Drosophila melanogaster: one gene and its partner. The protein of the gene in region 1 interacts with the protein of each later gene in a pairwise test. Each region holds a gene or a part of one and is shown on either strand. Other genes may lie near its edges. The genes, in order: Mmp2 and frac.

Region 1 (4,863 bases):
GCAACTTCGAAAATTACTCACCTTTCGATGGCCCGACCATGTATCATCAGTAATTTTGTCATTTGTACTTTATTTGGGTCAGCCGCAGATCAAAAATCGGTTTTGCATTCAATTTCGTGGCCAATTAGCACTTGAACCCAAGACCTCAGTCTAAGTTCAGAAATTGCCGGCAAGTTGTTTCGGATATCTGTGTGTACATACAGTGGTGCACGCCACTAAACGATCATGTTTCGAAATGAAATACATTTGAATGTGATAATACCAAAATATGATTTTACTATCTCTTACCCCGTGGGGGTTATATATTTATGATAAACTTGCATTTATCGCAGAACATATACATTTTCAAAACAATCATTTATAGATTTTATAGCATTTCGACTCATCAAGGGACTAGATCTACTGCGGTTCTAGATTGGCTATGATTAAGTGACAGTAAATTGAGTTTAAGTGGACATTGATATTGGATATATCAAGGCTGCTTATGCAAGAGCATTATCAATGACTATTTGGGATTTCCAAAAGATTGTGAATGGAAAAAGATAATCATCCTTTCGAATACTACGTTGAGTAACCGGCAGCGGCTAACATTCGTATTTTGATTCATTCAAAAATATAACCGGCTTGGTGAATAATACTCTGCAGTATATGATAACAAGTACCCAAGAATATATGGGCTTTTTTTTTTTTGATCTGGGTTTTTTATTTTCGAGGGTGTGGGTGTATTCATACTTATTCATAAATATTAGAAATCAAATGTAGCTAACTCATATCGATTCATTATTTTTTAGATTTTAGTTTCCTTTTTCATGGAACTACTCGATCAATCAATATTTAACGCCATCTGCCTTGTGTTTATTGTGCAATAGGCAAATGTCCCAACTTGGCGGAAACGTGTTAGACTGACACTTTTTAGGTAGCCAAAATCGAAGAGTATAAAGTAGCCAAAAAATATTAATATCGAAGAGCAGAGAGAAATATTAATATACACTTAAGAAAAGAACCTACCCAAAGTCACACAGACCAACATAATTTGAAATATTTGAAGCTATTATACTATTTAAAAAAAATTTTGTTTATTATTGTTTTACAATAAAATACCAAAAATCAAATCATAAGAGTATATGGTATAAAATTATAATGAATGTAGCAATAATTTATATACTGCTACCGATTTAAGTTTAAATTAAATTAAATTAATTAAATTACTTTTTTATGAGTCAAATATAATAACAAAGTGGAAAATACATAAATGTCTTTGACCACGGTGTTTGTACTTTCAGTTTTAATATAATTCTTTCATATGTAAAAAGGAAATTTTAAATACATTGGATTTCAGATCTCTAAATAAAAAACTATACAAATACGGATGAACAAAGTTATAGGCTCAGAATTTAAAAAGATTATTACGAAAAAAAAAATGTTTTTTGCTGCCTAATTTAAAATAATTTTTTAAAATCCTTTAGAGCCTCTTGGAATTCGTGCTTTTTCTTTCTGTGCCCCCTTAAGAGCGTGAGACAAGAGCGAGTTTCTTCTACTCTTACGTATTTTCATAAATCAACCGCGATCGCTGGCATATCCGCCCAAATGAAGAGAAGCTACTCTGTATTTTTGTGCTCTTTGTGCCCGCCTCTTCAAGTCGCTTCACGTCGAGGCAAGTCAGCAGTTCAGTCACATTTAGACATCCGCGCGGTAAACCCGCTTTCGGCGGTATAACGAGATTTTTTATTTCGAATTCGACAGAAACAAATAAATGTAAAAAGGAGAAATTGAGATTTATGCTTGCACAAAACACGCGAATAAAAGAGCACCGCCCACTTCTAGCGTTTTCTTTTGTGGGGTGAACAAAGCGACGTAACGGTTGACAGGAATCGGGTAACGCGAATCGGGAATCGGTGTTGGTATCGGGCATATACTAAAAAACGGATGAACAAGGAAAGTCTTTCCTTTGTGCAGCCACTGCGTGCTAATTAATTGTGTTTTTGTGGCCAAGTGGCATTCTATAGTGTGCATTCTATACACACCAAATTTAAATTCTATCCAGCCCAACCCAACTCAACGCCCCCAGCTCCTTGTTTTCCCACCATTCGTATGCGTCATATGTAAAAGAGCGCAAAAGGGCGGAAGGCACAGAGAGAAAGGAAAGCCAAGGAAAGAAGCAGTGGCCACAACAAAGCGGCAAGCACAAAACGCCAGAACAAGAAGCGCCAAACGGAAAAACGGGAATACCCCCGCCCAATCCCCACCGCTCCCCGCCACAACCCATCGCTCCTTCCGTTGTTTTTGTTGCTGCTGCAGCTGTATTTATGCTGCCGGGTATTCGTGTGAGTGCCGCCAATGCGCATGTGTGTCTGTGTCAACCCCCGCGGCCGAGGCGACAACAATAGCAAAAACAACAACAGCAGCGAAACTAAAACAAAAGTGAAAAGTTCAATTCCCAGCTTAGCACTACGAATTGTTAGTCCACCACATCGGTTAATTAAGCCTCGAACATAGAATAAAGATAAATACACAGTTTTGTTCCTACTGATCGAGGAATAGTTTCGTGTCCAAGTGTTTTCGTTGCGCGAGCGAAAGAGAGCGGCGAAATGTTTTCCAAATATGTTCTCGCCACCCTGCTCGCACTCTTTGCGCAATCCATGTGCATCCAGGAGCTGTCCCTCCCACCCGAAGGATCTCACTCCACCGCTGCGACCAGGTCCAAGAAGGCAAAAACCGCTATCTCCGAGGATATAATGGTAAGGCTCCAAATTTGAAAACTTCGATTTTTCCGAACCCAGCTTTTTTAAGCTCTATAAGATGATATATCGTATCGATCAAGTTAGTAAATTTGGGTGTTTATACAAAGTGCATCGACTGAAATGAAAATAATTCCCCAAAATAAAACGCAATGCAATCAATCATCCTACATATATCTGATGGTAAATGCTTAAGCACTGTTTGACCCAATTGCCATTTCAATAAAAATTCATCAATAATTGACATTTGAATCCCTAGAGCTGTTGGAAATCGCACAATGTTTGCAATAAAAATTGTAAAAGCAATTATTGAATGTGACATAAATAATTAAACAATGTAAATAGGAAGTTAAAGAGCAAGAAGGTAAATTAGAAAGGGGACAAAGGAAAACAAAATTAGCCTACAGTAGGCGCATTTTCATTCCGGCGGCTCAGATACTCAATCCGTATCTCCGCATTTGGTAGCAGACAGTAAATCGAGAGGCGGGTTAAGTACAATCGAGATAGACGGATCTGAAGGCCCCCAGCACACATATCCCCCCCTCCCCCTCACTCCACGATGCAGATGCTGCTGTGGCTGCTCGAGCCTATGACCTCAAAATCCCAAAATGCTCTACATATGCATAGACAGCACGAGACGTAGTTATATATCTAACTGTAAGTTAGGAAGGTATAATTTACTTTTAAATATTTGCATGTTGTGTGCTTAGTAGATTAATCTGTTTCCGTAAAATGTTTAAACAAAGGTCCAGTATCAACCTGTGTTAAGTAACTTCAAAAACAACTTGATTGGCATTTCTGGAAACCGTGATATAAGCGAAATGGTAAAGGATGATGACTTATAATACATGGAAAAAAAGAGATTCCAAGTTTCTCATTAACTTCTGATTTTTATTACGCGGAAGAATACACCAGTATGCAACTCACTTCACTGAACGAACGAAGTCCGCCTTACTCGTTCGAAACGCACTGTACATGTGTGTGCATACAGACGCCACGAGATGAGGGCCCCCAGTAGTCTCGGGTATGGCCACTGCAGTTCGTAGTGCACAATGCACGCTTATTGTTTGGGGGCATGCGTCCTATGGCTCTTAATGCATTTGTGGGTCTGCCTCCATCTTTACCCCCAGCCCCCTCCACCCACAACCCTTACTACATCGCCGCTGCCCATGTGGAGCCCTGGCCACTAGGACATTTCCTCGCGAATTTCTGCAGTTAATGAGAGCGGGCGCATTTTTTTTAATCAGAATAACAAAATATGAGCAATTTACCCATTATGCTCGCCTTTTGTTTTTGTTGCTCGTGTGCCAAGGAGTCGCGGTGGCATTCTTTAAGGCGCGCCAGGACATTGAACCCGCGCCACTGACTCACCAGCTCCAGACATGCGTGCCGGCCAGGATGAACTATTAATGTACAGCCAGCCATTGATGCGATTCTCCTCGTGTGGCTGGGCCAAATCTTGGCGTTTATTAAAGTTCGAAAGCCGTAATTAAAGTTCTGAAGCGTTTGCGGAAAATATAAGAACTGGAACTAAGTAGGACGCACATAAGCTCTGTACCACAGATGGTAGGCACCGAAGATTGTATGGATTTTCTCATGAATGTATAAACAACAGAGCTCTAAAATCGCATGCTGCAATAAATGTTCATGCTGAAAATATATGTCGAATATTATTTTAGAATTTCTAGTGGGATCCTTGGATTCTACTAAATTTTTAAATAATATAATATAAATATTATATTACCTATAGTTTGAATACTCCTAGAGTAATGAATAAGATTGAGAGAGTATCCCTGAAACAGTACTTGGGTCGAGGTCTTGAACGACTTGCATATTGTTTATTTAGTAAGGATACCGCTTCCCAGCTGCCCGTTGGATGAGCGAACATATGCCATATAGAGATAGGTATATGCATATGCATATATGGAGCACTATATATAGCTGCGATATGAGAGGAACTAAAAAGAAAAGAACCGAACGAGCGGACAAGTCGGCGAGTTAAGTTGAGTTGAGTTGAATCTTTACTGGGTTGAGTTCGCCTGAGTGTCGCCAGCTAGGCGATGCCATGAAGTCGGTTCAATAAACGTACTCGTACACCCGTACACACACACACACTCTCCGGATG
Region 2 (8,141 bases), on another chromosome or scaffold:
GTGACTTATATATCTTGAGCAGTTTTCCCTCGAATCGTGGCTCATCCCACACCACTGAACGCAGATTCTGATTCTCCTTCAGATATACTTCAATGGATGGAGGACAATAGTTGGAGGTATCCGAACCCAAATCCACCCGTGTGTTTTCACTAGAAGCAGGAGCAGCACTTATAAGCTTGGATGACTCGTGGAAAAGGGGCTCCAGCCTGAAGAAGGAAGATGACCCAAGTTTCGAGTGCTCTGATGACTCAGAATCTGGGAAAACTTGGAATTTGGTAAAGGAAACTGGTTTTGGAGTTGCATCCAGGGCTTTGAATGCAGGAAATGAGAATGAACTACCAGTGGACAAAGTCGCAAATGGAGCCGGTCTGGGAAGTGATGATCTTGAATAATCAGATATTCGAAACAAAGTAAATGGATTTGATTCTCTAGGTGTTGCAGCCTTAACAGTAATTATTGTGTGACATTTAATTGTGAGCTTGGTCTCCGGATCGTTAACTCTAAAGTCAACCTTATGGACTCCAGCTGGCAGATGACCCTGAAGTTGACCAGCCCAAGCGGGATGGGCGACCAATCGGCCATTCTTAACATTAGTTTGGGGTCTTTGAAGAGTCACATGAGCCTTCTGCTCACCGGCATGCAGTAGGATTACAACATTTTCCGGGCAATTGATATAGGGCCTAATCTGTTCCACATTCTGGATTTGATGAGGAGTCACTGTTTTCGGAGAATTCCACATCGGGGATAATTGATTTCCAAGCAAACCGTTTCCGAATGGCTGACAGTTGAGATCTGCACCGAACGACCAGCCCTGCAGCATCATGCAGGCGGTCAACAAGGATCCGGTGGACACGAAGCCAGCATTGCACTGAAGACGGCAAACGTCACCAAATCGAGATGGACCCTGAGTGCAGCTAGCTGGGAGTATAACTCCATTTTGGGCGGGCTTTAGAGCGGGGCAGATTCCAGGACTCTGTGCACGAGGTTGGTTGATGGCTGCGAAAAGGTACGGAAGAGGTACGGAATGCCAACTGTATAATCTATTACTTAACTTAATGACTCACCAACACACTTGGTTTCGGGCCCCTCCCAAATTCCATTGGCGTCACAGCTTTTGATCTCAGGACCCTGAAGAATATAGCCCGAATTGCATGAAATTCGGCAGCGACTGTAGTAGAAGAGCTTCTGCTTATGGCGATACCTATTGCAGTGGGACTTGCCATTTCGTGGTGCCTGAAATCGAGGGCACAGATCCCTGGGTTGCAACTGATTAACCCACAGACTTTTAGGCACTTCAGGACGCAGGGGAACGGGTGCTTTCGATGTAGGTATGTCAGCAAGGGGCGGAAGCTTTGGAAGACCTTCCCACTTAGGCAAAGATGGAAACTTGGGCTCTGGGTAATCGAACTCAGCTGGTTTCTTGGGATTCTCGGGTATTTCATTGGACAGCTCGGTGAAATCAGGATACTTTGGCGTCTTCAATTCAATTTTGGGCGATTCAGGCAGTGACGAAGCTGTGGGAATCTCCGGCAGAACGGGGAACTTGGGAAACTCGCAGCGGAAGCCTCCAATCTCGTTTATACAGGTTCCAGTGATACAACTAGTCTTGTCTTGGTCACACTCATCGATGTCCTGGCAAGTCTTTTGATCACTATCTAGTTCATAGCCCGGTGGACAGCTGCACTTGAATGAACCCTCGGTATTGGAGCAGCGATGCGAGCAGCCACCGTTCTGCTTCTGGCACTCATCGATGTCCACACACTTGTCGTCCGATCCCAGGGTATAACCCGGATTGCATTCAATTGGAGCACATCCATCCGCGGATCGCTGAGTTCCCGGTGGACAACCCACCAGAGCGGGACTACAGCTACGACCATCGTCGTTGAGTATGTAACCCAAGGGACATCCACACTCAAAGGTACCTGCCTTATTGATGCACTCGTGGCTGCAACCACCGGAAAGAAGGCCGGCACACTCATCCACATCCAGGCAACTTAGCTTGTCCTTGGCCAGCTCATAGCCCCTTTCGCAGGCACAGGCATGGGTACCTAAAAGATTGATGCAGATGTCGCTACAGTTTCCATAGTCCTGCGAGCACTCATCAATGTCGGCGCAACCGAATCCATCTGGAGTTAGCTCGAAACCCGTTTCACAAGCGCAGGCAAATCCCCCAGGTTGATTCAAGCAGAGCTGCGAGCATTGGCCATTGCTATCGAGGCACTCATCAATGTCCTGACAGGTGCGCATATCCTCGGATAGGGCATAGCCCAAGGGACAGGCGCACTGAAAGCCACCAGGCTCGTTCTGGCAAAAGTGGGAGCAATTCCCATTGGCCAGAGAGCACTCATCAATGTCCAAGCATGTATGCGCTGATGGGGTTTCGGATGAGGTTGAATCAGTAATGAATGAGCTGTTTAGTGATGTGACTATGTGGTTATCCAAGCCAAGGGCATATCCCGGTGGACAGAGGCAGGTGTACGAACCATTGAGGTTCTCGCAAAGCATTTGATCACTGCACCCATGAGTTCTCTGCGAGCACTCGTCGATGTCGAAGCAATAGCCGCGTATGCCATCAAGCTTGAGGAGCTCATAGCCGGCGGCACATATACACCCATACGAACCTGGAAGATTTCGGCACACCTGCTGGCAGCCACCGTTATTTACCAGACACTCATCCACGTCCTCGCAACTCTTGCCATCGGCACTTAATCGAAATCCCTCGCGACAGGCGCAAACTCCTCCTCGGGCAGTCAGGCAGATCTGTTCGCATCCGTTGTTGTTCACCTCGCAGAGATTCTCGGCCAAACAGGTGTACTCCTCGACCAGGTTGAGTCCTTCGGGACACTGGCACTGATAACCACCGGGTGTATTCTGGCAAGTGTGACTGCAAAGGTGTGTATCCTCTGCGCACTCATCAATGTCCTGGCAACTGAATGCCTCACTGCGGTAGCCCGTTGGGCAAATGCAACTGAAGCTGGTATTATCCTCACTGGCTAGACAGGTTCCCGGGGAGCACTTTTCAACTCCCTTTTCTGTGGAGCATGGAGATTCTTGCACCAAACAGGAATGCTGATCCTCTGATAGTTCATAACCCTTGGGACACACGCATCGGTAGCTTCCCTCTGGCAAATCCTGGCATTCGTGGGCACATCGAGTGCGATTCAACTGGGGATTCTCCAGATCCGTACAGCTATCCAATGCACAGCTTCGTTGATCTTCGAGCAGGTGGTATCCTTCAACGCAGGTGCAACGGAATGATCCAATAGTGTTCTCGCACTTTTGCTGACAGACTGCGTTATTATCAAGATCCTCAGGACCGTCTACCTCGCACTCATTAATGTCCTGGCAATCAGTGCCGTCGGCGGAAAGTTGAAAGCCAGAATTACATGTTTTTCCGGCGGGTTGTGATTCGGAAACGTTCACTGGGACTTCGTTGGTCTTCTCAATGGGATTCTCCACGACTTCCGTGATCTCGGGATTCTCCTCCAGCGGCTCCACACAGCGATATGAACCTGGCAGATTCTCGCAAGCACCCTGGCAATTCGATGACAGCTCGGGATTCGCACATTCATTAATGTCTGAAAACAAGTATATACCATTTAATGTGAATTTTTTTTCTTTTTAAATATCATTTATTAAAACATACCAACACAACTCTTTCCTGACTCGTCTAAGTAATAACCCTCTTGGCAGCTACATTTATATTCTCCTGGAAGGTTTTCGCAAATTTCCGAACAACCACCATTCGATTCCAGGCATTCGTCGATATCTTCAAAAAGAATAATATTGTCTAGCAAATTCTTTCAATTTAATTATATATAATACACCCACCGAGGCAGCTAGCATAATCGTTAGGATCCAGGGTATAACCCTCTCGACAATCGCACTTATTGATGGGCTGGTTTTCATCTGGATAAAGCAATCGCTTGCAAATGTGCGCACAGCCTCCATTGTCTTCGCCACAATTGTTATCCAAGAATGTTGGCTCATAAGGATCATTGGTGACCTTAACAGATGCATTGCTGGAGTTGAGTACATCAGTTTGGACTTCCGCTTTCAGGGGAGTTTCGTTTTCAAGGACCTCATTTTCAGTTTCAGTCTCCGCTAAAGCAGGTTCTGATTCAACGACTTCATTTGCATGATCATCATTAATTTCGATAACTATTTGTGGTTCAGGCTTGGAATCGGCTCCATCCACTACCGGTGGTGGTGGTGGCGGTGGTGGTTCCCTTTCACTAACCTCTTCATCATCATCCTCATCAATATCACTGTTCTCGACGTAATCGTTGGGCACAGTTTCGTCGGAATAATCTTCCAAATCGTAACCTACTTTCTCGTCGTGTTCTTCAAAATTCAATTGGGGAATGCAGGTGGGTATTTCATCCACCCATTTCTGGTTCGAGCAAAACATTTCTGAGATTCCGTTTTCAAAGTCGTAGTTATCATCGCATACGAAAAAGGCCACTAGGAAGACCTTCTTTCCCCTCCGGCGGCGATCGAAAACGGACACCCTACCATGATTAATCTCCGGCGGAAGGATTTTGGCCGACGAGCAGCTCATGTCCAAAGAAGCAGCCAAGGAGTCAGAAACTTTAGGATCCTCTGGAATATTCATGACATTTTTCCTTTTTCGCTCGGAGCTTGGAGAAGCTAAATGGAAATAGAAATACATTAATTTTTAAGATATAACCAGAAAATTAGCATAAAAGAAACCTGTTGAAATTTATAGGCCTATTTAATAGAAATTCCAGGGATTGGAGACATTAGTTCTAAAAGATTGTGCGATTTTATAACAATAAAGTTGTATGCAGATCAAAAAAAATGAACATGCCCATAACATAAACATAAACGGTTTTCCGTGTTATGCATCCAAAATTATTTAGTGCACTAAAAGATTTCTCACCAGAACTTAAAGGCAATAAAACATTTTATTGTTCGCTCCATACCACAAACAGCTGTTCACAATCACCCAAATATGTTTAAAAAAAAAAGCCCGATTGTATTATCCTAGAATCTTTGCCTTTAAGGGGAATCCCATAAAAACTAGGTGATTCAATCTTTTGAATCGTTGCCAAAAGATATTTCTTTGCCATATAGTCTTCACGGTTTTTTAATTTAATTTGTCATTTTGGGACTTGCTTTGTTTTGATTTACGATCAGTTTTTATATGTTCAGTTTTCATAAAGCCGGCCGGTAATTTGGTGAGTAATATTTCGCTAAAATATATAAGTGCCCCGTGTTAGCCATGACTATTTTGTGTTACACATTTTCCGGAGAACGTGTCATAAAACTATGAATATATGCTCCATTAGCTATAAACCAAACGGTTTTTATGACCATTTTGTGGACATTTTAATGGTCAATATATATACATACATTTCAAAAAAGCAAAATAATCAAAAAAAAAAAATGATTTAATTTAAGGCCTTAAGGCAAATAATTATAATTTCCAATTAAATATTACAATACTCAATAGGTCTGAATTGGAATACATTTTTACATTCTCTATTTAAATCTATTTAAATGATATATTTCGTAATACCCAACCGATTGCCATAATCTAAAGAAGCACAATCCAAACTATAATAATCTTTTACAATCCCCAAAATTCCTTGTAAGCTATCCAATAAATTTCCCATTTCCACAAAATCCGTGAAATATTTTCGATTTCCACCCACACTCACCTGAAGCAAATGCAACGCATGCTAGCGCGCATAAAACATATTTTGCCGCCCACATTCTGCAGCCCTATTTCCGATCCTTATAGAACAGCTGCCACACACCTTTCCACTCTCACTTGTATCGGGTTCTTGGGTTCAAATTTTATAAAAAAGAATACATTAATAAGATTTCACGACATTCGTTTCTTTTTTTTATTTGTTCTCCAACATATTTATGGGAGAAGATCTATATATGTAGCGGCATATAGAGGAGCAAAGCCATTAAGATTAAGGCGGGTTTATAAATAGCACATGTTCAACACTTTTTACATATATTCACAGGTCATTCGTGAAGTAAATGTGTCGGATTTACATCAAACGAAGGCACTTTTTGCAATTAGAGTTCACTGAGAATTTCACTACTTTAATTGATTTAAAACACATAAAAACAGTCTGTATATATACTTCTGTAGTTTAAGGAAAAACCAGGAATAGTATTTTTATTTTGGAAAACGCACCGATTCCGTCGAGAGCCCAGACAAGACTGAGGAGCCAAAGAAATTCTGACTTTTCTCGAAGGGAACGTGAAAACAGTTTTTCGATGTCTCCAAAGATATATATATATATATAAGTTTATGGGTGTATATATGCTGATATTTCATTGATATCATAAAGCAAATTAGTGCGAGAGCGCACAAATGTCACCAGAGGGGGACGCGTAGAGGAAAGCTATTTTTACCCATGGTATTATCATTAGCATTGGGCTGTGATAATTAATGAGGTTCCGTCATCCATTGAACTTGATCGCATTGATCCTTCAGCAGCTGTCAAATGCGGTAGTCTCTAACATAATTTATATTAGCTGGTACTATATAGAATAAATAGTCTGCTCGCTCAGCTACTCTGTAGATTATCACAAATGGTTTTTAATCGTAATTGTAATTGAATACAAAAGGACGTAGTTCGCCTTAAATATAAATAAAGTTTGATACTCGAAGTATTTATATGTCGGACATAATGGATTTACACCCACAACTACCTGTTTCAAATGCAAATACTCATAAAGCATTTTCGGCTCCCACACTCAACAACCGTCTATTCCATCTTTTTCATTTTGACTTTTCTGAATCAAATTTTACTCGTTTATTTACATTTAATATTCTTTTCAACATTTTTATGGAAAGGAAGCTATGTTAAGATGCGTATTAGAGATTAGGGTACCATTAAAAATAACTCATGATTATATTTTTTGATATTCTTTAGTAAATCAAATTGTTTAACTTATAAAAATAACGCGCTTATACAAGGTATGAAATTATTTAAGTATTAAGTATTAGTATTTATTTAAGTATTAAGTACACATAATTTCATAGATTTTTAAAGAGGACCATCAATAAACAAATTGCCCATCTAAGCTCAAGATATTGGCGGAGTGTTAAGAGGTGAAACTTTCGCATGGGGGAGGCCATTACATCACAAGATTGGTCGACTGGGTCTCGAGCACTTTTGCTCTATTGTTGAGCGCATTATTAAGCGCCGCTTAGCTTATGTAATTAATGTCAAGCCAAATGGCAGTGCCAAGAGCCCGAAGTGGAGAGTCTAATGAACCAGCTGCGTGTGCTGATTTATATGCGACTTTTTTAGCTGGTTTGTTTGTACACAAGTATGTTATAGGTCTGTCTATCTGTCCCTCCGTCTGTCTGACTGTTTGTTTGGCCTGGCCAAATTGTGTTTTGTCACCGTCACCATCACGGACGACGTCTCTCGATCGCGCACTTAGGCCTCGTTTATGCGCAGGCTCTGCTCGATACTCCAGTTTCTTGGGCCATGTGAATGTGACATAAGTCGCCGGGTGTACGGCCATGATATATGAATATGACAAAGCGACATGGACAACTTTATTGGCTCATGAAAAGCGCTGTCACTGCTTGACTGACATAAATCGCCGAACGGCAGAAATAGGCATTCAGCGCCACAAGAGCCAATCGATTGCTGCAAAAAAAAAAAAAAAAATTGTCCAAAAAAGTGTTTGGCCAAAATAAATCAAAAATCAATCTTTTCGAAGGGCCCCTCGACGATCATCTCTGTGCGGTGGTGTGGGCCACAGTGAAATCTAGCGCAATCGAGCGATTTGCATAGGACAGAATATGCCGAATCGATTGCATAGTTCTTATCTGATTGGAACTGTCAACCCAAGCGGATATTTCGCTTCATTCATGGGCACGGACAAAAACTCATATGGAAATTAGAGCAACAATTGGACATCGTGCAACGTTTCTAAAAATAATAACCGTGTGGAGCCTTCATTGACCAACAGACAAACACACAAGCCCACGTCAGGAATGTTAGCAAGCGAATGCACGCCACCTATCGGGCGAACTGGGCGTATCCCGACACGCTACCCCCTCACACACACACACACACACACACACACACACACACACACACACACACACACACACACACACACACACAGATTTT

Evidence for each region.
Region 2: the proteins of Mmp2 (region 1) and frac interact in a two-hybrid assay, tested with the Drosophila melanogaster proteins (one study listed by BioGRID).

The regions. Positions count from the first base shown.
Region 1 is NT_033778.4:9,680,658-9,685,520, reverse strand, and holds the start of Mmp2 (matrix metalloproteinase 2), read left to right. Parts: upstream 1-1,662; 5' UTR 1,663-2,588; coding exon 2,589-2,738; intron 2,739-4,863. UniProt on the Drosophila melanogaster protein: Has metalloproteinase activity. Proteolytically cleaves the PGRP-LC receptor; involved in gut-fat body innate immunological communication (GFIC)-mediated activation of the imd/Relish signal transduction pathway.
Region 2 is NT_037436.4:7,560,677-7,568,817, reverse strand, and holds the start of frac (faulty attraction), read right to left. Parts: upstream 6,209-8,141; 5' UTR 6,126-6,208; exon of another isoform or gene 5,810-6,125; 5' UTR 5,740-5,809; coding exon 5,685-5,739; intron 4,651-5,684; coding exon 3,832-4,650; intron 3,770-3,831; coding exon 3,647-3,769; intron 3,579-3,646; coding exon 1,065-3,578; intron 997-1,064; coding exon 1-996.